3 linked regions of the Saccharomyces cerevisiae S288C genome follow. The gene in region 1 interacts genetically with each later gene. Each region holds a gene or a part of one and is shown on either strand. Other genes may lie near its edges.

The links.
Region 2: mutations in HOM6 (region 1) and INP53 together harm fitness more than expected from each alone (negative genetic interaction), as found in Saccharomyces cerevisiae (3 studies listed by BioGRID).
Region 3: mutations in HOM6 (region 1) and LAT1 together harm fitness more than expected from each alone (negative genetic interaction), as found in Saccharomyces cerevisiae (3 studies listed by BioGRID).

The regions. Positions count from the first base shown.
Region 1 is NC_001142.9:681,057-692,524, reverse strand, and holds HOM6 (homoserine dehydrogenase), read left to right. Parts: upstream 1-2,000; coding exon 2,001-3,080; downstream 3,081-11,468. Other genes in the region: HIR3 (Hir3p), read left to right, coding at 1-1,775; GTPase-activating protein IML1, read right to left, coding at 3,204-7,958; MET5 (sulfite reductase (NADPH) subunit beta), read left to right, coding at 9,240-11,468. UniProt on the Saccharomyces cerevisiae protein: Catalyzes the conversion of L-aspartate-beta-semialdehyde (L-Asa) to L-homoserine (L-Hse), the third step in the biosynthesis of amino acids that derive from aspartate (the aspartate family of amino acids), including methioinine and threonine, the latter of which is a precursor to isoleucine; production of homoserine leads to a branch-point in the pathway as it can either be O-phosphorylated for processing to threonine, or O-acylated for processing to methionine.
Region 2 is NC_001147.6:519,987-528,626, reverse strand, and holds INP53 (phosphatidylinositol-3-/phosphoinositide 5-phosphatase INP53), read right to left. Parts: upstream 3,350-8,640; coding exon 26-3,349; downstream 1-25. Other genes in the region: 2-isopropylmalate synthase LEU9, read right to left, coding at 3,786-5,600; GTPase-activating protein RGS2, read right to left, coding at 6,345-7,274. UniProt on the Saccharomyces cerevisiae protein: Dephosphorylates a number of phosphatidylinositols (PIs) like phosphatidylinositol 4,5-bisphosphate (PtdIns(4,5)P2), but also phosphatidylinositol 3-phosphate (PtdIns(3)P), phosphatidylinositol 4-phosphate (PtdIns(4)P), and phosphatidylinositol 3,5-bisphosphate (PtdIns(3,5)P2).
Region 3 is NC_001146.8:489,755-493,354, forward strand, and holds LAT1 (dihydrolipoyllysine-residue acetyltransferase), read left to right. Parts: upstream 1-1,768; coding exon 1,769-3,217; downstream 3,218-3,600. Other genes in the region: lysine--tRNA ligase MSK1, read left to right, coding at 1-362; ribonuclease H2 catalytic subunit RNH201, read left to right, coding at 563-1,486. UniProt on the Saccharomyces cerevisiae protein: The pyruvate dehydrogenase complex catalyzes the overall conversion of pyruvate to acetyl-CoA and CO(2).

The sequences.
Region 1 (11,468 bases):
ATACATTTTCTGGTGCAACAAGTTTGTATTTAACTTCTCCAAACGACGAGTTACAGCAAGGCATGACAGCCGGCTTGTTCTACGTATCCAGCTTACAGTCCCTGGGTTTGTATAAAATGAGAAAGAAGTCTATGCAAGCAAGACCTTCTGAATTAGACTCCATTATCAGAATGTTAAAGAATGACATTATATACAACACAAACCGTTTCGAAAGTTGGATATTACTCGGAAAGTGTTACAGTTATATTGTTGAAGATGATTTAATATGGACCTCAGATAAGATCACTGTCCCTGAGAAAAAAGATGTTATTGCTTTGACTCAAAGAAAGGCAATATTGTGTTATTTAATGGCCATTTCCATTTATTATAGTAAGTTGGATCGAACTATTGACGATAAAAAGATTATATTGGAGGCATTGGATGACTTAGGATCTATGCTGATTAGCGGCTACTATAATCCCATGAATAAGCTTTGTTTTAGCTGGAAAAGCAGTGCTGAGAATACAATGAGATTGTCTGAAACCGGTGAAGTAGTAATGGAAAAAACTAAGAAAATCACCACAATCTCAGACTTTAACATCGAGCAAAGTATATTTTTATGTTTTAATAGGGCTTGTTCTTTATCCGGCGATATCAAGTCACAGGACGATGTATTCGTGTTGAATTGGTCTAGTTTTTACAATCTGGCCAAGTTCTTTTTCAAAACAGATGGTGGTAATAATTGTAAATTAGTTGCCAAATATATTACTCAGGGTTGCCAAATAGCTTATGAGTCATCACCTGCTAAAGATCCGATCATAGAACCCCATTATCTGTTAGTTAATGCTTGTTACAAGTGGGTAAAAAGAGGCGTCATAGGTGTTAACGAAGCTCTGACCTTACTGTCTAAAGATAACCAATTCTTCCAGGAACAAGAGGAATTTTGGGTCAACGACGAAGGTCTTGCATGGGATTATCAAGAAAAATTCTTTTTTGACAAAATCATAAGACTACTTCGCCATTTACTATCTGTTGATAAAAAAAAATGGCAGCACAGACCTCGTTACAGAATAGCGCGCATATTGTTTGACGATTTGGGTGATGTGAACGGTGCTTTGGAGGAGATGGATAGCTTAATATCCGCAAAAAGTATAAACAAAAACTTGGTCAATATATGGAAACCAGATTTTGAAAGGCCAGGGAAACATTTCATCTATACTTACCAGTACCTGGTTTTGTATTTGGATTTACTCTTCGCAATAAAAGACTTCAATACAACAGGTCTTGTTATAAAAAAGCTAAGGCGATTTGGTTCTGGAACTGTGAACGTAAACGAACTATTAGAGCGTGCCATTAATGTGTACACGCAAAGTGCCAAAATCAAGCTGCAATTGCAAGACAAGAGCTACGTGGAGCAAATCCTTCCAACCTTGAACTACCAAGAATTCCTGAAGATTAGTGAGCAACTGAACCAAGTTTTCGACCAAGGAAAGTACCCTGAAGAAATATCATCCGGGTTAAAACTTGCTTTCCAGTTGAAAAAGGGACATAGCGGAATTGCATTTGACAGCGTTTGCTTGGGCATTTATTTCGAGTATCTCTATTTTCCTCTAGCTCGACAGGATCAATCCCTCACAGACGTGAACGATGAAAACAATCCAGCACTACCGTCATCAGGTTCTGTGACATCAAAAAGCACTCCAGACCCTACTTCTAAGCCAAGTGCAATTAAGAAACGTGTTACAAAGAAGGAAGTCTTCGATAGAGTGAGGCTATTAGTGGATAAGATCACGTGAGTTTTTCAATAACGCACATGGTGGTGTACGGGTGTGTTGATGACCATATTTTGGAAGAAGTGTGCCCTGGTGGTAAAGTTGGGTTGAATGGAACAGAAATGTATAAAGAATATGTAAATATTGCGGTTAGCGATAGACAATTTGTTGAAGCTAAATCTTCTGTGTGTGTACTCAGGACTGTTTTAAGAACGTAGATAGTATCATCAATCGAATAATAAAAAAAAAATGAGCACTAAAGTTGTTAATGTTGCCGTTATCGGTGCCGGTGTTGTTGGTTCAGCTTTCTTGGATCAATTGTTAGCCATGAAGTCTACCATTACTTACAATCTAGTTCTTTTGGCTGAAGCTGAGCGTTCTTTAATCTCCAAGGACTTTTCTCCATTAAATGTTGGTTCTGATTGGAAGGCTGCTTTAGCAGCCTCCACTACTAAAACGTTGCCTTTGGATGATTTAATTGCTCATTTGAAGACTTCACCTAAGCCAGTCATTTTGGTTGATAACACTTCCAGCGCTTACATTGCTGGTTTTTACACTAAGTTTGTCGAAAATGGTATTTCCATTGCTACTCCAAACAAGAAGGCCTTTTCCTCTGATTTGGCTACCTGGAAGGCTCTTTTCTCAAATAAGCCAACTAACGGTTTTGTCTATCATGAAGCTACCGTCGGTGCTGGTTTGCCTATCATCAGTTTCTTAAGAGAAATTATTCAAACCGGTGACGAAGTTGAAAAAATTGAAGGTATCTTCTCTGGTACTCTATCTTATATTTTCAACGAGTTCTCCACTAGTCAAGCTAACGACGTCAAATTCTCTGATGTTGTCAAAGTTGCTAAAAAATTGGGTTATACTGAACCAGATCCAAGAGATGATTTGAATGGGTTGGATGTTGCTAGAAAGGTTACCATTGTTGGTAGGATATCTGGTGTGGAAGTTGAATCTCCAACTTCCTTCCCTGTCCAGTCTTTGATTCCAAAACCATTGGAATCTGTCAAGTCTGCTGATGAATTCTTGGAAAAATTATCTGATTACGATAAAGATTTGACTCAATTGAAGAAGGAAGCTGCCACTGAAAATAAGGTATTGAGATTCATTGGTAAAGTCGATGTTGCCACCAAATCTGTGTCTGTAGGAATTGAAAAGTACGATTACTCACACCCATTCGCATCATTGAAGGGATCAGATAACGTTATTTCCATCAAGACTAAGCGTTACACCAATCCTGTTGTCATTCAAGGTGCCGGTGCCGGTGCTGCCGTTACTGCCGCTGGTGTTTTGGGTGATGTTATCAAGATTGCTCAAAGACTTTAGATCAGTAAACAGACATATAAAAACATAGGTATATTTATATATAAATAGATAACATTATGCTTTACTATCCACGTTCGAATATTATTTACTTTGTGAAGAAACTCATCCATGTCATGGGGCTACTCAATCTTCTACAATCTTTCCTGTAATCCACATTTCCTTTGCGTCAAGGAAAATTGACCTTAACTTCTGATAGTCCAAGCAAGTTGATTTGAAATTTAGGATCACTTTTTGAGCATCTAATGAAGAGCTTGAAGCAGAATGAATTTTCCCGATTATGTTTCCCGGATTCACTCTGGATATATAAATGTTGTTAGGAGCTAAAAATAGGCAGCCATTTTCCCTCAATTCCGCGACGTAAGCACCCGTATGATGAATATATTGAACATATTTGAACTGTGGTTTGCCCCATGAATACATGATGTCAAACTCTATATCTTGATTTTGTAAAAATTTGGATGCCCTATTGTCTAATAAAAACCCAGATGCCTTTAAAAGATAAACGTGGTAGTAGAATTTGCTTTTAGCGAAAAGCTCCCTATCCTTGAACTCAGGATCTTCCCAAGGATTGATAGCTAACTTAATTTCCACAAAAGAGTGAAATGGATTGACCGAAGGGATAGTACAAAGTTCTTCCCAAGGAATTTCAATCATTTTCAAACCGTACCTTTCGCATAACCTTGACCAGTTCCCAACCAAATCATCGATCAATTTTGGGGTGGTAGTCAACCATTCCAATCTTATGTGAAAACAGTGGTCGGGGTTATGAACTCTGTCATAATGGACTGTACACGATTCTTGTTTCGAGGATTTTCCCGCGGGATCAACATCGATAACAAGAGAGTTACTCAGCATTAAAATAGGGCGTGATGGCTCTTTGGCGTCAGCAACTGAAGCATTCGAAGCGCTTATAGCAGGTACTACTGAAGAAAAAGGAGTCATAGCGCTTGGATCGTTTGAGCTACCAGTGGATGCTTTTCTCAACATCTGCTTTGGATCGGATAATGTAGAGCGATGGGAGTTTGTTTTTTCTAGTTTATTAGTGTCCATTACGTATTCAGGTGAGAACTGGTAAAAGTAGTGCCCGTCCAAAAAATTGTGCTTATTTAAAACGTGAACAAATAATCCCTCTTTCATCACCTTCTGCCCATATTTAATTGCATCTTCTCGAGTATCTATATCAGAGAAGTTTCTTATGAGCCAATTAACCATCTCCGAGCCAACAAAACACTTTTCATGCTTTTTCCAGTGCCATTTTCTGTTGACTAAAGTAATGCGATCTTCGCCACGTTGAATTTGATACGCCAACTTGGATAGTTCTACATTTCTGTTTAAAAGGTTATTATCATTAACAAAAATTGAATCTTTAAAATTTATAGCCGAGCTTTCTAAAGATGTTTGTTGCTCATTAATGAAGTTGTAAAGCGGGCCGGTGTAAAACATAACTTCAGGCTGTATTTCTTCTCTCTTAGTTTTTCTTCCTTTTTTTTCTTTCTCTGTTCTTAGTCTTGACCTCGTTATTGAGCCAATTAATCTTCTCAAACCCTCGACTCTGATTTCTTCTGGGTTTAAAGTTTCGCTTTTACCATTGATAACCATAGAATATGTGTTGGGAGGGATATCTGTTGGTAACACCACATATTTAGCTCGAAATCCGTGCCATTTCCTATCTATTAAGTTATCGCCATAACCTGCTAGAACCTGATCAATTTGATTCCAGTTCAAAGATTCTCTTTTAACATGAAGTGGGTCAATCATAGCATCACGAAATGAGCTCTCGTATCTCGTTTTAACCAACGGAATATAACTAGGAACCTGATCAAACAAGTTTGCTTCATCTTTTCTCAAATACCTCTCCACATCAATAATTCCACTTGACGAGCATGTTATTCTGTGTATTTCAGAGTCGATCATTAGATAAAGTTTGAACGCATCATTTTGATTGAAATCTAAATACTTGTTGACTACAGTTTCACTTTCACCACTTTCCCTAGAAAGTTCTATTTTTTCTACTTGTCGGCCCACGCAGATTTGAAAACCAGTTAACAGTCGCATATAAATCATATCACGAAGTAAGTCTTTGTATGTCTGATTATATTGTTCTTGATCTGTGTTTAAAGTCACTGAGTGATTTCTGAAGATGAAGTTCCTATCAAAATCATCCTTGGATGGAAAATCAGAAATTGTGATTGGTAACTCTGCTGGGGTTGTAAAAGACCTCCATTTACTATATTTTCTGGCCACATATTTTGGCCATACATCTTTCCAACGTATAGGCAATAATTCGTTGGCAAATTCACTACTTACCGGAATGGAAGGACTTTTAATATCCACCCAAGTTTCACTTATACGATGTTTCAATTGCTGTGTGAGGCTATAAGTGTTCGAGTCATCATGTTTTGATTTTTGCCCTTCTGTAATGAAAGCAGCCTTGTCTGACATATTAGAAAGTTTAGAGGATGTTCTGGTATGTGATGAGCCTAAATATGAGGAGGGTGAACCACTCATGATTTCATTACTAGGTAGCCCAAAAATGGATAGGTTTTTCTTTATTATCAAATTTCCACGTTTACTGATAACGTTTTCATCTGCCAGGCCTTTTTGTTGTAATTTCAGGCCACTTATTTTACTTTCAGAAGATGGTAGTGGTGTATTTGAACCTAAAGGTGAGTTATCCACATCATCTCTGAGTAATGTTGACTTTATTTTTTTATTTTTACTTGTGTCTATGTTCGAAATAAATTTTGTAATTACTCTTTGAGTAAAATCTTTCAATGAGTTCCTTTTGCTTAGTCCTTTGAGCGAATCCAGCGCCAAAGATGTGTTTTGGTTATCAGCAGATCTCACAGAGACCAATGAGTCATTCATTTCGAGATTGTCATTGTTAGAAGTGGTGGGAGTGCTAATTTTATCATTTGTAGTATTACAATCATCATAAAAAGAGGCCTCTATTGTTTTTATTGATAGATCTGGTATTACGTTTGGTTTTTGAATATCCTTAATGGCTGGGAGAGCAACTTTTGGACCTCTCCATATGAATTTTGTGTTACCGTGTGTTGTTGTTGCTGTTGCCGGGATTTTCCTTGCCTTCACAACAACATCATTCTCGAAGACGGTATCAAACTTTGAATTTAATTTCTTAGATTGTTTCGTATTAGAGCCAGCGCATAAAATTTTCACCTCGAAGGCATTTTTGTCGTAATCATTCATAAACTCGGATAGTGATTTGACTTTCTTGTTCAGCTGTAAATATTCAACATCCACTTCCCGAATTAACTCATTTTCAGTAATCCCCATCATTTGTAAGTCATAAATTTTACATCTTGGAGTCCATTCTGAGTTACTCTTTTTGTCATGATCATTCCAAAAGAAAACACTTAACCAAAGCGGTACACAATGATGAAGCTTGTTCTCAAAGTCTCGGTACCTAAAAAGTGGAACTATGTGCAATGGAGCTTTTGAAAGACATATTAAATCCATCGTCATTTCAAGAGAGAGTAGTTTTTTTCCTGTTAGCCTTAATAAACTATAATCAACGTCAAATAATCCAGACCCTGGTGAAATAATCATGACGTGCGTTGTAGTGTGTCGAAGATCTAATTGCTTGAAAGGATCCGTTAAAATTGTCGTGGCAAAATTGACCAATTCGAGAAAATTCGACTTGATTACAGGTGAAAATCTTCCATTCGCTACACTGTAACCCTTATCCGTTTGCTTGTTTAATAAATCTTTTCTGATTTCCATAAATTCTTCTCTTAATGTTTCCATAATATCAACCCAATGGATAATACTGACTTGATCTACAACTATCCTAAAATAATCCTGTGAATTTTTCAAAGATTCGCCGGGTGTTAAGTCCTTGAATGATGTATCAGACAAGTCCATTGATATAGCGAAGGCTATAGTGATAGTATGGTGGGTGTCCACATCTTTCCATTTTTTGAAGATCTTCGGGAAAAATGAATTAACCATCTTTTGAAATAATTGTTCACCAGTTTCTTCGAAGTTCCACATTTCATCAGTTATTTGAATCAAAAAAATTAATCTGGCAGATTCGGACCGAAAAATTATCCTTGTTTGTTCGCCAATATATCCAGAAACAATCTTCTTACCATTTCGATAAATTCCCTTAATAGTACCTCTGATAGAGTCTAAGAATGCCAGTCTTTGATCCATAAACACACATGTATCTACCAGCTTAGATGATAGAACCCACATATCACCTCTATTTAGTAGGCAATCTTTGATATTAAACTCTACCACATCTGCCTGTAAGTCAAATTTGTTTGGTTTCAATTTTATCCATATCCTAGACCTAGAAGGCAAATCTAACAAAGTTTGCAGTTGACCCGAAAGTATTGAAACATTAGATGTTTTTGCCCTTCTTTTAGTCTCTCCGTCAAAATCTTTTGCAATAAAATAAATTTTCTTATCTCCGTTCGATGCAGATGGATTTTTGTGATATGTTTTCAATTCTACCAAATCACCAGGTTTTATATCCGGGAACTCAACTAGATTTAGCATCACTAAATTCTCGGAAAATCGGGACTCATGATAGCCTAATTCAGCTTGATACGCCTTTATTTTCAGTCCTGGAATATGATGGCGATGGACCCGTTCCCCATTGTCATAATTGTTGTCACCACCATTGTTGACGTTATCGTCATTTTCCTTATTTGAAATCAGCTTTCTGCCGGAAGCCCTTTGTTGAGAACCAAACTGCTCTTTCTTTTGTCTTAAATTTCTATTGGAACCTACTATCAAATTACCCGATGATAAGGATATGCTATTTGCGTGAGTAGTATTGCTAGTCCTTGGAGTTTGTGAATTGATGGAAGAAATTGGTCTTTGTTTCTTCCCATGCAATTTAGCGAACATCCTTAAAAAGTGTCCCTTGTCAGTGCTGAGTTATTTCCCTGCTTAAAAAGTAGTTACAGAAACAATTCGTTGTTCTGTCACTTACTATCTTTTAAACAATAATGATTAACATAGATAGTGATTCAAATAGTCACGTGATCTCTTTTAGAGAAAGGACTTAATCCGTACACAATGATTTAATTTTTCATTACCTTATAATGTGATAGTCATAATAGCAATGAAGGATTAGTAATTACCAATATAAGAGCTCTAGCACATTAGCTATGAATTTGTCAGCCGCACCAAACTAACATAAAGGTCTTACTATGTTAAAAGTTCTTGTCCTTGAATAGAAATAAATGAATGAATCTAGTACCCTTCCCCATTCACCTAAGTTGGCTAGCCATATTTTCGGAAAAAGAGTGGGAGGAACAAGATGCTAGATAAACAAATATTCATGTTATTAAGCTTAGAATTTTGGCTCTGTTTTGTTTATTTCCAGATTTCTATTTTCTGCTATTCATCCAAAATATATTTTCTCACAAAAGCTGTTAATTTGAAACTAATGTTAAACAAAACATCTCACTTCAAATTGAAGCCAAATTAGAACCTAAGTAACCAACACACGCACAACTTTCATCCCTTATCCCACTTCTTTGAAAACTTTTAGAAGCCATTGATGGTATTGTACATTTACCTATCTTAGCAGATTCCTTATTAGCCGCCGAAATGGGTAATAAGTATTATAATCACTAAATACGAAAAATTTATTCATACCAACCCGCAACATGAACTACAAACCTTTGGGTATATAATGACAAAGACGTATCAAACCAACACATAAGGCTATTTTCAGGCAACTAATATGCTGTTTTATCTGCGGAATTTCACCAACTGACTTTTACTAAGCACTCAATAAAGATGCAGGTAAAATACGTGGATTTATGAATCCGGGTAATATAATTTGTCCACGTGATATTTCACAGAATGAATTTCATCACGTGCGTATTATCTCTTAACTCATAATGCCACAATTACCACCACACAGAGGCAGGAATGGTTTAACTGCTAAGAGACACTGGAAAATTTGAGTCATGGAGATGCGACGAATTACTGGCCGCTGCAAGCAGTTATATAAAGTGTTGGAAGACGATAGTTTTTAATGTGAAATAAAATTGGGATATAGAAAGGTTCCTTTGCTTGTTATTTTTTTTCCATCGTCTTGATATTTATTCAGATCCCTTATATACTAATAAAGTAACAGTAGGGAACGGGAACCAGAGAAAAACAAAAGATTGGCGAATGACTGCTTCTGACCTCTTGACGCTCCCACAATTGTTGGCGCAATATTCCTCTAGTGCTCCCCAAAATAAAGTGTTCTACACTACTAGCACAAAAAATAGTCATTCATCCTTCAAAGGGCTAGAATCTGTTGCCACAGATGCTACTCATCTATTGAACAATCAAGATCCATTGAATACCATCAAAGATCAACTCTCTAAGGACATTTTAACTACCGTTTTTACAGATGAAACTACTTTGGTCAAATCCATCCACCATCTATATTCTCTTCCTAATAAACTTCCATTGGTGATTACAGTGGATTTGAATTTGCAAGATTATTCCGCAATTCCTGCGTTAAAGGATCTTTCTTTCCCCATCTTAATATCTTCTGATTTGCAAACTGCAATTTCAAACGCGGACTCTTCTTATAAGATTGCTACAAGTTCTCTGACCCCAGTTTTCCATTTTCTTAACTTGGAGAAAATTGGCACGAGTACAGCTATTGAACAAGACATCGACTTTCCTACCTTGGAGATTGCTAACGAAGAGACTAAAGTAGCATTATCAGAAGCTACTGATTCATTGACAAATTTTGAACTGGTTAAAGGTAAAGAGTCAATTACCACTGTCATTGTTAACCTGTCACCATATGACGCGGAATTCAGTAGCGTATTGCCTTCAAACGTAGGATTGATCAAGATTAGAGTATACAGACCATGGAATTTTTCCAAGTTCTTGGAAATACTGCCATCTTCTGTTACCAAAATCGCCGTTTTACAGGGTGTCTCTAAGAAATCGCAATCAAACGAATTTCAACCATTTCTTTTGGACTTCTTTGGCAATTTTAATGAATTAGTTTCTAGGAACATCGAGCAGGTAGTGTTGACTAATATTGGTAATGTGAATGATTATGGCAACGTTATCAACACCGTCATATCGAATATTAACAAGAAGGAACCAGATAATAACTTATTTTTAGGTGAATCCAATGAAAAGGCTGAGGAACAAGCTGAAGTTACTCAACTTATTTCTTCTGTCAAAAAAGTTGTGAACTTAGAAGACGCCTATATCAAAGTGCTAAAACAGTTATTTTCATCAAATCTACAAATTTTGAATCAATTTTCCAGTGAGACAATTGAACCAAGTAATCCAGAATTTGGTTTTGGACGCTTTTTAAAACAAGAAGCCCAGCGTGAAGAATTGATCAGCTTAGCAAAAACCTCTCTTGATCCAAGTCTTTACTTGTCCGAGGATGCAAATAAAATTGTTCAACTATTATCTAAATGGTTGTCATTCAATGGACGCGATCTTGACGAAGCTCAATTACAAGAGGCCAATGCGACAGGTTTGGAAATATTTCAGTTATTACAATCTAATCAAGATTCCTCTACTGTCTTAAAATTCTTAAAGATAGCTCCAACAAGCGATTCTTTTATTTTCAAATCAAGCTGGCTAATTGGCTCCGATGCCTGGTCTTATGATTTGGGTCACTCAGGTATTCAACAGGTTTTATCCTCCCGTAAAAACATTAATGTTTTATTGATTGATTCAGAGCCATATGACCATAGAAAGCAAAACCAGGATAGAAAGAAAGATGTTGGTTTGTACGCCATGAATTATTACAGTGCCTATGTTGCCTCTGTAGCAGTATATGCTTCTTACACCCAACTATTGACTGCAATAATAGAGGCATCTAAATACAATGGTCCTTCTATTGTCTTGGCTTATTTGCCGTATAATTCCGAAAATGATACTCCATTAGAAGTCTTAAAGGAAACCAAAAACGCCGTTGAATCTGGTTACTGGCCATTGTATAGGTTTAATCCTGTTTATGACGATCCATCAACAGATAAGGAGGCATTTAGCTTGGATTCTTCGGTTATCAGAAAACAATTACAGGACTTCTTAGACCGTGAGAATAAGCTTACCCTATTAACCAGAAAAGATCCATCTTTGTCAAGAAATCTAAAGCAATCTGCTGGTGATGCGTTGACAAGGAAACAAGAAAAAAGAAGCAAGGCTGCCTTCGATCAGTTATTGGAGGGTTTGTCCGGCCCACCGCTACACGTCTATTATGCTTCTGACGGTGGTAATGCTGCAAACTTGGCAAAGAGACTAGCAGCAAGGGCATCTGCAAGAGGTTTAAAGGCTACTGTTCTGTCCATGGATGACATTATTTTGGAAGAATTACCTGGTGAAGAGAATGTAGTTTTCATTACTTCCACGGCTGGGCAAGGTGAATTCCCC
Region 2 (8,640 bases), on another chromosome or scaffold:
ACCACACTTCAAAGATAACATATTCTCATTTTGGGGTCAATGGCTGCCATGAGTCTAAAGTCATATGGTTTAGTTTGGCCTTTTCCTCTGGCTCAATTGGATTTTCATCACCTAGCAAAGCTTCGGGCTGCCCATTGACGTCTCTTGATGCTGCAAATGCTGTAGGTGTCTGTTGTCTTGCATCTTGGGCTGAACGTGTAGATTCACTCGCGCTATTATATAAATCAACCTTAGAAGACATAGGCGAAGCCAAGTTACTGGTACTTTTTGGAGTTAATATATTTTGACTAAAACCTGGTGGTGGAATTCGTCTATTTTGCGCCAATGGTTTATTTTCCTGTATATTTTTAGTCACAGATGACAACGATGCAGTTGAGGTCTGTGGTGTTGGTGATTTTTCCTTCGATGTTGAAGGAGCAGGTGCTGATACAGATTTATGAGCAGGTGGGGGTGGGGGGCGCAATACCGGTTTCTTTATGGGGGTACGCGACTGGCTACTGTTTTGAGTTCTGACAGGTTGTAGTGAAGCCGATGCTGAAGACACAGGTGACGAAGAAGCAACGCTGGACGCTGTCGGTTGTGCCATTATCGGATCAATATCAAGTAGAGAACTTTCAGAAGAGCTTTTGAATCCATCAGTGCTCTTATTATCCAGATCAAGGCTGAGAAGATCCGATATCAGAGAACCCGGTTCTTCGGGATGCTCTTGTTTGTATTCTGTGAATAAACGTTTCTTGAGAGATAGTCTCTCTTTATCATCAACAAAAGTTATTTTTGCTCTATATGCTGCGTAAACTGGCCGATGGTCGCTAATCATTATCGGAGCATCTGAATAAGATAAAGGAAGTAAGTTTTCCCCTTTATAAATAATTCTATCTGTCCATGACGGCGTCCTTTCCTTTTCAGAAGAATCATAAGTTCCTGTCCCGGGATCATACTTGTATGTTGGACGGAACTTGAGAGTTGGTTCTTTGAAGCCTTCAAATACACTGCCAGAATTAATACCTAGGGTAAGTTGATCAAAATGCAACAGTTTATCGATATATCCTTCTTCTTGGTTGAGCAACTCTCTTCTGACGTCTTCGTTCGGTAGATTTATTCTATAATTCATGTCACCTAACCAGAAAATCGAATCGTGATGAGGAATCATCTTAGTTCTAGTGAAAGTAATACCTCTAACTATGCTCTCGTAATCACTTCGACGTTCTTCGACATTCGTAGCTCCTGCTGCGAGATGAGAATTGACAAAACAAAATGAAGTGGCACCGTACTCAAATCTTATAGACACTGCACCTTTATTCCCAGCCATACCCCTAAAGCCAGTTTTTTTAGTAGCACCCTCCACTTGTTTGACGTATTTAGCTTTGTCTGCTTTAACAAAAAATAAAATTAGTAAAGAAGTCATTTGCTCTACTCTTAACAACAGATATTTATCATCATACTGGTTTAAGCAATCACCCACTAAGTTTTCCCAGAAAGAGCTTTTCGAGTAATCAGCGTTCAAAATCGAACCCGCAGATAGTTCTATAACTTCTTGAAGACCTAAAACAACAATATCGGGTTTAAATTTTTCACCGATTGGAAATAACCACTTTGATAAATCAACTTTTTTGGTTGCGCCATTAACATTGAATGATCCTATTAACAAGTTAATGTTGGAGGTTGATGTGAACTTATCAGACATGCTTTGTAATTTCGTACTTACGTATTCGTTTACGGGATCATAAAGTTGCACTGCTTTCTGATACGGTAACCTTCCCAACAAAGTATCGATATTTTGTTGCTTTTCTTTATCCATGAAATTGTTAATATATATTCTGCTGACCGATTTTGTGGCGTCTGATAATGCCCCAGCAAGTGACATTTTACCTTTTCTTGAAAATGAGGACTTCAAAGCATTAGTACCAGTATATATTTGGGAAATTTGATCACCGTGATCAGCCCACAGGGTGTTATGTTTAGAAACGAAATCATCATCGTCGATGAACGAATTTGAACTAATCAATCGGAAATCTTCGAGAAAAGTTCTAAAAGCAGCCAAAGAAATAATTTGCTGAGCTAAATTTGTTCTATCCAAACAATCTAAACAGTTGGTCCTAAATATGCCATGTTGTTCAGATATGTTCTTTTTTTCTCTAACATCGTAAGAATAATAGCCAGAAGATAAAAGAGAGTCCAATATTAATGGAATGAGTTTTCTGACACCGGAAAAGCCTTCTTGCGAAGTTTCTTTATGAAAATCGAATTCTGTCAAAAATATATCTTTGTTGAAGTTCAATTTTTTTGAATGAGTTAAATGCTCCTTGTATCGTTTTGAAAGTTCAATTTCAGAAGATTTCGTTGATAACAAATTAACGACATGCACAGGTCCGTACTTTTCCACTGATTTCATGATATGTTTGTCAAATACCGGTTGGGTGGCTTCAAATGATCTTGTAATTTGTACTCTTGGATTGATTAAAGAGGTACCTTGCTCCCAGAATACAGGTATACTGCCTCTAATCTGTGTAAAAGCATAACAGTATTGGCTAGAATACATAATGAATTCCGTTTCTACGAAATTGGCAACGTTTGCCTCATCATCCACACCACGTGCATTAAATCTTGTTCCTGCTCTTTTCCAGCTCTGTTTCGAGATGATAGTAAGAGCAACTTTCAACTTCTTAACGTACGAGACGAAAGTTTCCGCAAATCCACGGATAACTGTTGTTAAAAACCCCTCGTCATCCAAGATTTGTTTCAAATTTGTGTCCAAATGATCTCTGTATGTGATCATTTCTTGCATGAGAAAAGAGTTCCACATATATTCTTCTTCGTAGGTATCTGTACTCAAAGAATGCTGACCATATCCACGATGCTGTAAGGTTGAGGTCAAATCAAAATCTGAACTATAATAAAAAGATCCATTGGATAATAGTTTCTTCAATTCATAGCATGGATGTTTTGGCAAGGCGTCTTGATATTCAGTTGAAGCAGTCTCCGGCAACACAGGATAACCTGAGGAGTCGATTTCAATAAAATCCCAACTGTTGTCATTTAAACAAAAAAAATCGACAGCAAAAATTTTGTTCACAGTCTCTCCTGGGCATGGCTGTGCAACTTTTGATTTCCCAGTGATGGCACCAACAAACAGCAGGCCATTAACCTCAATGAGTCCGATAACACCAAAAATTTCGTGTGATGTAAGTCTTTTGAAGCCATATTTTTTCAAATCATTTTTTTGAAGAAGTTCAATGGCACAAAGGGGTTTATCAGATGGCTTTTTCCCAACCGGTTTAAGAACAAGAGCATACAAGTTGGATACAATGGCTAGCCTCCTTTCAGGTTCTTCTGAAACAAAGATAATCATTCTATGAAGGAGTGGATAACTAGATATTCTTCGCCCCAGTTATTTTCTTTCTTCCTCTTAAGGTACTGCTAGCTTTCTTAATATGATATTGGATATTGACTGTTCTCCCTTCACAAAGTCTCAAATTACACTACTCCTAGCTCACTCAACAGTTGCAGTAGTGCTCGAAAAATCCCTATTCGGATTCAGTTAAGATTATGCGGTGGGTGGGCCTGGGTAAAATGTTTCACGAAAGGAAATGGTACCATGGGAAAAAAAGCAAAAAAAAATAATAAAACTATAAACGAAAGAAACTTTCCACACAGACATCGAAGAAGTGTTTGGAAACTTCGCTGAAAGATGTCTTTTTAACGTGAAATAAGTTACTTTTCTGTGCCATTTATAAATAAAAATACATATATATATAACATGAGTAATCATAAGCTACTCCTTTCTATTACTCTGCCAGTAGAACATCCCCGGAATGAATAATATTATTGACAGTAGCAAATACCGCCTTAATAGATGCATCCCCAGTGTCTTCGGAGACACCAACACCCCACATATTACTAGTAGCATGATTATTGATGTCCTTTATGTAGGAAAGATTTATGAAAGATGCCGCTTGGGTTGCAGAACCAGAACCCAAGGAATGTTCAGAGTAGTTTTGAACGCTCAACTTAACATTCAGTAAATTGGATAGCGCATCCACCAAAGAAGAGATAGGACCATTTCCGTAGCCTTCGATGTTGACAACCTTATCGTTGATTTCTACCTGGCCCACTAAAGCTCTACGCTCTGGGTTCAATTTCTTAACTTCGTAATTCAACAAGGTGACGTATATATGTTCATTGTTGTTGTAGTTGTAAGTTTCTTTGAACAATTTTGTAATCTCTTCGGATTTTAACTCTCTTCCTAAGGCATCTGCATTTTTCTGTAGAGTATTGGAGAAATCAACTTGCATTGGTCTTGGTACATCTAATCCTAGAGATCTCATAATAACCCAAGCAGCACCACCCTTACCGGATTGAGAGTTGACTCTGATGACGGCTTCGTAATCACGTCCAATATCCTTTGGATCCAATGGTAAGTATGGAATTCTCCACCGAGTTTCTCCTTGAGCCTGTTTCTTGTTTTGGATTGCAAATCCCTTCTTAATTGCATCCTGATGAGAACCAGAAAAGGCAGAAACAACCAATTCACCGCCATATGGGGCTCTTGGGGGAATTGGAATCTTGTTACAGCGATGGACAATTTCAGAAATTGAAGTTAAATCTGAGAAATCTAAATTAGGAGAAACACCTTGGGTATACATATTCATGGCAACTGTAACCAAATCAACATTACCTGTACGTTCACCATTACCAAATAGACAACCTTCTACACGATCAGCGCCTGCAAGCATACCTAATTCTGTGGCGGCGACACCGCAACCACGGTCATTGTGACAATGCGTAGAAATACAGACCTTCTCACGCTCAGTAATGTGGGTAGAGAAGTACTCAATTTGATCAGCGTAAACATTTGGAGAGGCAACTTCTACAGTAGCTGGTAAGTTGAAAATGATCGGATTTTCCTCGGTAGGTTCCCAAGCCTTTTTAACAGCTTCACAAATTTCTACAGCAAATTCACCTGGCGTATCACTGAAACATTCGGGAGAAAACTCATAGGACCAACGAGTAGCTTGCTGGGAAGGGTCATCCTTGGTTAGTTTCCTAACCAGTTTGGTGGCTTCTACAGCTTTAGAAATAGCTTCCTCTCTAGACATATTGAAGACAATTTCTCGGAACATGTCACTTGTGGCCAAGTAAGTATGTATGGTAGCCCTTTTAGCACCAGTCAATGCTTCCACGGTTCTTTTAATCAAGTGTTCTCTAGATTGGACAAGACATTGAATACCAACATCATCTGGAGCGTTTTCTACAGCATACCTGGTGAAGTCGAAATCTGTTTGAGATGCAGAGGGGAAAGACACTTCGATTTCTTTGAAACCGATGTTGATCAACTTGTGGAAATATTCTTTCTTTTGAGCCACAGACATTGGGTCCGGTAAAGATTGATTACCGTCCCTCAAGTCAGTAGACAGCCAACGTGGAGCCTTTTGAATAGTTTTGTCAGGCCAAATCCTCTTGACCATTTTTGGTGGAGCAAACGCCCTATATTTTACCGATGGGTCCCGTAGCATATTTTTATAAGTCAGTTTGACGGGTGGGATAGACCTTCTTAGTTTACTAGCATGCTCAGCTAGCGCTATGAACGAATGTTTTACCATGGCTACGCGGCTAAATGATAATGTGCCGATAGTATTATCCTAAGGAGAAGACCCTTATAAGCCGAAAACAAGGATTGTGATTTCGTGGAGTAAAGTAAGGCATTATTGAAATTTAACAGCTAACTTCCAATCAAGCCAGTAAGAGGCAAAACTATGTTGTAGTTGTGATTCTGGACATCGTTTTTAATTTTTTTTTTTTTTTTTTTTTTTTTTTTCATTTTTTGGCAAGGCCGAAAGAGATGGAAAAATATGAGTCATTCACTACGACCGTTACCGGACCATGATGGCGCGCGGCACCAAAATAGACGAATGAAGTATATAACAAGCGCCATGCAGAAGGAAGAGCTAACATTAATTACTATACAGATAAATGTTTAGTGTTTGAATATGACAACATATAAAAGAAGACTGTGCCCAATGCTCTTATTTTAAATGCCTGTGAAATAATTATATGCAGTGTCATGTACGTAAAATTAAATAAAAACTAAAGTTACAAACAATATGAGCGTGATGAAATGAAGTAAATTGTGTGAAATGAATTAATATGAAACGAGGGAACTAGCCAGAAAAGCGGATTTTCTATCGTTGTTCTACTTAATCAAAGTTCTAATCTTGATTAACTGATATCATGCAAATTTAGCTTTTTAAAGCCGTTTTCAACGCTTTTTTCATTTTTACCGATCGCTTTATTGGGTAATGGCGATGAGGATGAAGATATTTGTGTCTCCACAGATGATGAAGAGGCTATCTTTGTTGATGACTGTTTTGTCCTTTCAAACGGTTTTGAACATTGCTGTTATAATGGCTACAAATGACGCCTGAAGGCTGTTTGAAAGATTTCCGTTTTTTAACAAAGTTAAGTTTTTGCAATAAACCTTTCCCCGAGTTGAGAATTCCTGTATTTTGCGGTTTTTGCAGATTTCTAGTGCTGGTATTCTTGTAGGTCGAGCTGGTAGTGTTGAGTGAGGAAGAGGACTCGCTTGGCCGAGAAGTGCGATCGCTGCATTGCGACTCATTGGTCGTGTTTGCAGACGTTTCTTGAATGATAGTTGACAAACCATTGATATCAGGCTTCTTAAGATACGAATTTCTATCTTCAGAAATATCCTCCACGCCTAATGACGAAAAAGAAGTTGTAGACTCGTTTTTGAGATCTTGTTCCGTAGCAGAGTCATTGTGGGCATATGTGGCGGAGTACTTTTTCTCATTAACAGAACTCACAAATCGGTGATACCCGTCCATTAATAGGCCCATCACATGGCTAATGGCACACAGGACGTCTACGTCGGCAGGTACTTCATTGTTAGCAAAGCACTTCTCAAATATCTCCCTAGTATCCTGTGAAAAGTTGCATTCTTTGGGGGAGTCCACGGCAATGTATTTTATGTACAACGACTTGTTCCAAACTTCCAAGAGCTTCTCCTCGCTAATACTCCTGTTTTGCTTAAGCTGGAGGAACTGATGAGCTTTTTCGAAAAATTCTAAATTTTCCTCACAATGAGCTCTTTTTAGAAATTTGTAAAACTTTTGTATTGTGTAAGGAGAACGCATCCGTTCGTGATGCCCTTTTCGCAGTTGAATCAGCACTGTATTGCTACTTTCAGCATCGCCGTCGCTGCGACTATTCTTTTCTAGCGGTATCAGTATGTCGCATAGACTTGGTACACTCGCCATCTGGCATGTGCTGAATTTTCTTCGTTTTATGTATCAAAGGTGCCTTACCTAAGATGTTTTGATATTTATATAGCCAATGTAATATTTTTTTTTTCTTCTCTTTCCTTGCCTCGTCGCTTGAGTTGTTTGCTTTTAGTGATCACCGTTGACTTTGTAAAAATCCGTTTAGTCAATTTTGGCAACTGGTTCAAGCAATGTGCAACGGAAATGGTATAGATGTGATGTGGTATAATATGTTATTAATTTGATTACTAGCGCCTTAACTATCTTTATTCAGCAAGTTTTTTTTTCATCTCCACAAAGGGACGTTTACAAAGGGTATCCCGAAAGAGATACTACATGACGACGTCATATATACGTATATCTCAAGAAAAGAATTGTTAATGATTATGTTTTTTTTTTCTTCTTTCAATTTCCTTTTTCTGATTGTGCTAAAATGAGCGCCGAGCCGCTTCGATCGGGGTACCTGCGCACTTTTCTAGCGGTTCGGTTCGGCAGTTCTTCCCGAAGCATTTAACGCAACCTTGTTCCTCATTCTCCAGCAGGTCTGTGCTTGGTGCGCGACTTTAGCTGCAACGGCGTGGGTGTGCCGCAGCGGACATTTCTTAGTTAGATGTCATCTCGGCTGGACCGGGACGCCACAGTAAGATTTCAAACTGCTGAAAATTTTCGCCAGCAGAATAGCCGCTACTATCAGGCCGTAGCGACAGGATCGTGCCCGCAATAACGTACACATCGAGGTAATTATGCATGATTTCTTTTTTTGCCGAGAAATTCTGCCATTTTTATTAATCCACGCTCTGTCCTTATCTTAGTGACAGGCAAGGATGTTCTGCAAAAGCGAAAATTGAAATAAGATAAATACTTCCGAGCCAGACACGTTCTTATGTTTATCAGGGCCCACAAGGTTCATTTAGAAGACAACGCATACAATGTTTTGTTTCTTGATAACGGTTGGCGGCCGTTAAGCAACAGTAAGGCAAATGACAGTTAACGGAAAATAACAGGGTTCTTACTTTTTACATACAGTAGCACAATCCTTTTTTTATTGGCAGTCGCTAGTAGAAATTCGTGGGGATTTACGGACTACTGAAAAAAGGTCAGTGTAGATCGTACAAAGTAGAAAAAGGAAAAAGGGCATATCGAGCCCTTGCATTTAAACTACGGAGTACAAAAAACACAGGTTGCGCACATGGGAAGTGCACTATCACTAGACATCAAAGGAAATTTTGAGTCAAAAAGAGCGGCTAAGAAACCCCCCTACCACAAAAGAATAAATGCAAAAAATAACTTATACACTCTTATACACTCTTGTTTTCGTAAATAGATAAGATTGGGTCTACCAGAAAGTCTGTGCTCAATGCGC
Region 3 (3,600 bases), on another chromosome or scaffold:
ATCAACCTGCAATATTATCGCCCTTAGCCAAGACGGATCCGCAAAATAAGCAAGTCACGAAGAGATTCGAAGTCTTCATCAAAGGTAAGGAATACATCAATGCTTACGAAGAGGAAAATTGCCCCCAATTACAACTGCAGAAGTTTCTACAACAAAAGCAGATTAACGAATTGACAGGAAACAAAACTGAGACCTTATCGCCTGTTATTGACTACCAGTATGTTGAGACGATGAAATACGGTATGCCTCCAGTAGGTGGCTTTGGCCTTGGCATAGATAGATTGTGCATGCTATTTTGCGACAAGAAGAGGATAGAAGAGGTTCTGCCCTTTGGCTGTGTGGATGATGTAAACAGGCAGTAAATTTTGCGACGCCTGCCAATGCTTTTGTAAATAAATCAGACATATACTGTAAATAATTAGAATGGCATTTAATTTTTTTTTTTTCTCTACACCAATAAACTACGCTACGCGAAAAATCCAATATAAATATTCAGTTATAGCTAATGAGAGTGTCGAAAAACCTTGAAAACAACTACTGCACACCAAATTGATACGATTAAATGGTACCCCCCACGGTAGAAGCATCCTTGGAGTCTCCTTACACTAAGTCGTACTTTTCACCTGTCCCAAGCGCGCTCTTGGAACAGAATGACTCTCCAATAATAATGGGTATCGATGAAGCTGGCAGAGGGCCCGTATTAGGGCCAATGGTCTACGCAGTAGCCTATTCTACACAGAAATATCAGGACGAAACTATAATCCCTAACTACGAGTTTGACGACTCTAAAAAACTTACAGATCCCATCAGAAGAATGCTGTTTTCCAAGATATACCAGGACAACGAAGAACTAACCCAGATCGGCTACGCAACTACGTGCATCACTCCGTTGGATATCTCTAGAGGAATGAGCAAGTTCCCACCGACGAGAAACTATAACTTGAATGAGCAGGCGCACGATGTCACAATGGCACTCATTGATGGCGTGATAAAGCAGAACGTGAAGCTCAGTCACGTGTATGTGGATACTGTTGGACCACCAGCGTCCTATCAGAAGAAACTGGAGCAACGATTTCCTGGTGTCAAGTTTACGGTCGCCAAGAAGGCAGACTCGCTCTACTGCATGGTCAGTGTGGCGAGTGTCGTTGCAAAAGTGACCAGAGATATACTAGTCGAATCCTTGAAGAGGGATCCCGATGAGATCCTGGGTTCTGGATACCCCTCCGACCCGAAGACAGTCGCATGGCTGAAGCGCAACCAGACAAGTCTTATGGGCTGGCCCGCCAACATGGTAAGATTCTCATGGCAGACATGCCAGACTCTGTTAGATGACGCCAGTAAGAATAGTATCCCTATCAAGTGGGAAGAACAATATATGGACAGCAGGAAGAACGCCGCACAAAAAACCAAGCAATTGCAGCTCCAGATGGTCGCTAAGCCTGTTAGAAGGAAGAGGCTGAGAACCCTAGATAATTGGTACCGGTGATCACCTCCAGTTTGCACATACTATATATCTTCATGTAATACTACATATGTCATAACTTCAATAACTCATACAAGTCATCTGCTACTATGCTTTGCCGTTTCTACTATCCGTGAAGCGTGACCGGCCCTTCTCACCCCCCGTGTTACGCAAAGAACAACAAGAGGTCGAGACAACCAACCGGAACGACTAGAAGAGAGGCTGTTACGTTTCCTGTTTGTTCACGCTCAACATCTTCCATTGCTGTAAACTGCATCCAGTAAAATTAATAGTTATTAGCGTACTATGTCTGCCTTTGTCAGGGTGGTTCCAAGAATATCCAGAAGTTCAGTACTCACCAGATCATTGAGACTGCAATTGAGATGCTACGCATCGTACCCAGAGCACACCATTATTGGTATGCCGGCACTGTCTCCTACGATGACGCAAGGTAATCTTGCTGCTTGGACTAAGAAGGAAGGTGACCAATTGTCTCCCGGTGAAGTTATTGCCGAAATAGAAACAGACAAGGCTCAAATGGACTTTGAGTTCCAAGAAGATGGTTACTTAGCCAAGATTCTAGTTCCTGAAGGTACAAAGGACATTCCTGTCAACAAGCCTATTGCCGTCTATGTGGAGGACAAAGCTGATGTGCCAGCTTTTAAGGACTTTAAGCTGGAGGATTCAGGTTCTGATTCAAAGACCAGTACGAAGGCTCAGCCTGCCGAACCACAGGCAGAAAAGAAACAAGAAGCGCCAGCTGAAGAGACCAAGACTTCTGCACCTGAAGCTAAGAAATCTGACGTTGCTGCTCCTCAAGGTAGGATTTTTGCCTCTCCACTTGCCAAGACTATCGCCTTGGAAAAGGGTATTTCTTTGAAGGATGTTCACGGCACTGGACCCCGCGGTAGAATTACCAAGGCTGACATTGAGTCATATCTAGAAAAGTCGTCTAAGCAGTCTTCTCAAACCAGTGGTGCTGCCGCCGCCACTCCTGCCGCCGCTACCTCAAGCACTACTGCTGGCTCTGCTCCATCGCCTTCTTCTACAGCATCATATGAGGATGTTCCAATTTCAACCATGAGAAGCATCATTGGAGAACGTTTATTGCAATCTACTCAAGGCATTCCATCATACATCGTTTCCTCCAAGATATCCATCTCCAAACTTTTGAAATTGAGACAGTCCTTGAACGCTACAGCAAACGACAAGTACAAACTGTCCATTAATGACCTATTAGTAAAAGCCATCACTGTTGCGGCTAAGAGGGTGCCAGATGCCAATGCCTACTGGTTACCTAATGAGAACGTTATCCGTAAATTCAAGAATGTCGATGTCTCAGTCGCTGTTGCCACACCAACAGGATTATTGACACCAATTGTCAAGAATTGTGAGGCCAAGGGCTTGTCGCAAATCTCTAACGAAATCAAGGAACTAGTCAAGCGTGCCAGAATAAACAAATTGGCACCAGAGGAATTCCAAGGTGGGACCATTTGCATATCCAATATGGGCATGAATAATGCTGTTAACATGTTTACTTCGATTATCAACCCACCACAGTCTACAATCTTGGCCATCGCTACTGTTGAAAGGGTCGCTGTGGAAGACGCCGCTGCTGAGAACGGATTCTCCTTTGATAACCAGGTTACCATAACAGGGACCTTTGATCATAGAACCATTGATGGCGCCAAAGGTGCAGAATTCATGAAGGAATTGAAAACTGTTATTGAAAATCCTTTGGAAATGCTATTGTGAGGTTAGAATGAAAATAAAATTCGCCAGTAAATGCGTATCTTGGAGAAAATATCAATTTGTTATTTTGTATATATAAAAAATTAAAAAAAAAAAAAAAAAAATACTCAAATACTCAAATACGTATACATTATACTGAAATACTTCGCTTGTCTTCGAATCTAAATCCTCTCTCTCTTCTGTCTCAAAATGATATAAATAAATCACGTCAAACGGTGCGTCAACATCTTTGTTTTTTCACCTCATGTGGAATTGGTTGAAATTAACAAAGGAGTGGGATATAGGATATAACGCATAAAGTTTAGCATACTACTTTCGTATATTATTGTTCGGTGAAAGAAACTAGTTCCCTCTTATCTCTCAATATTTGCCAAAATTAGCTTTTA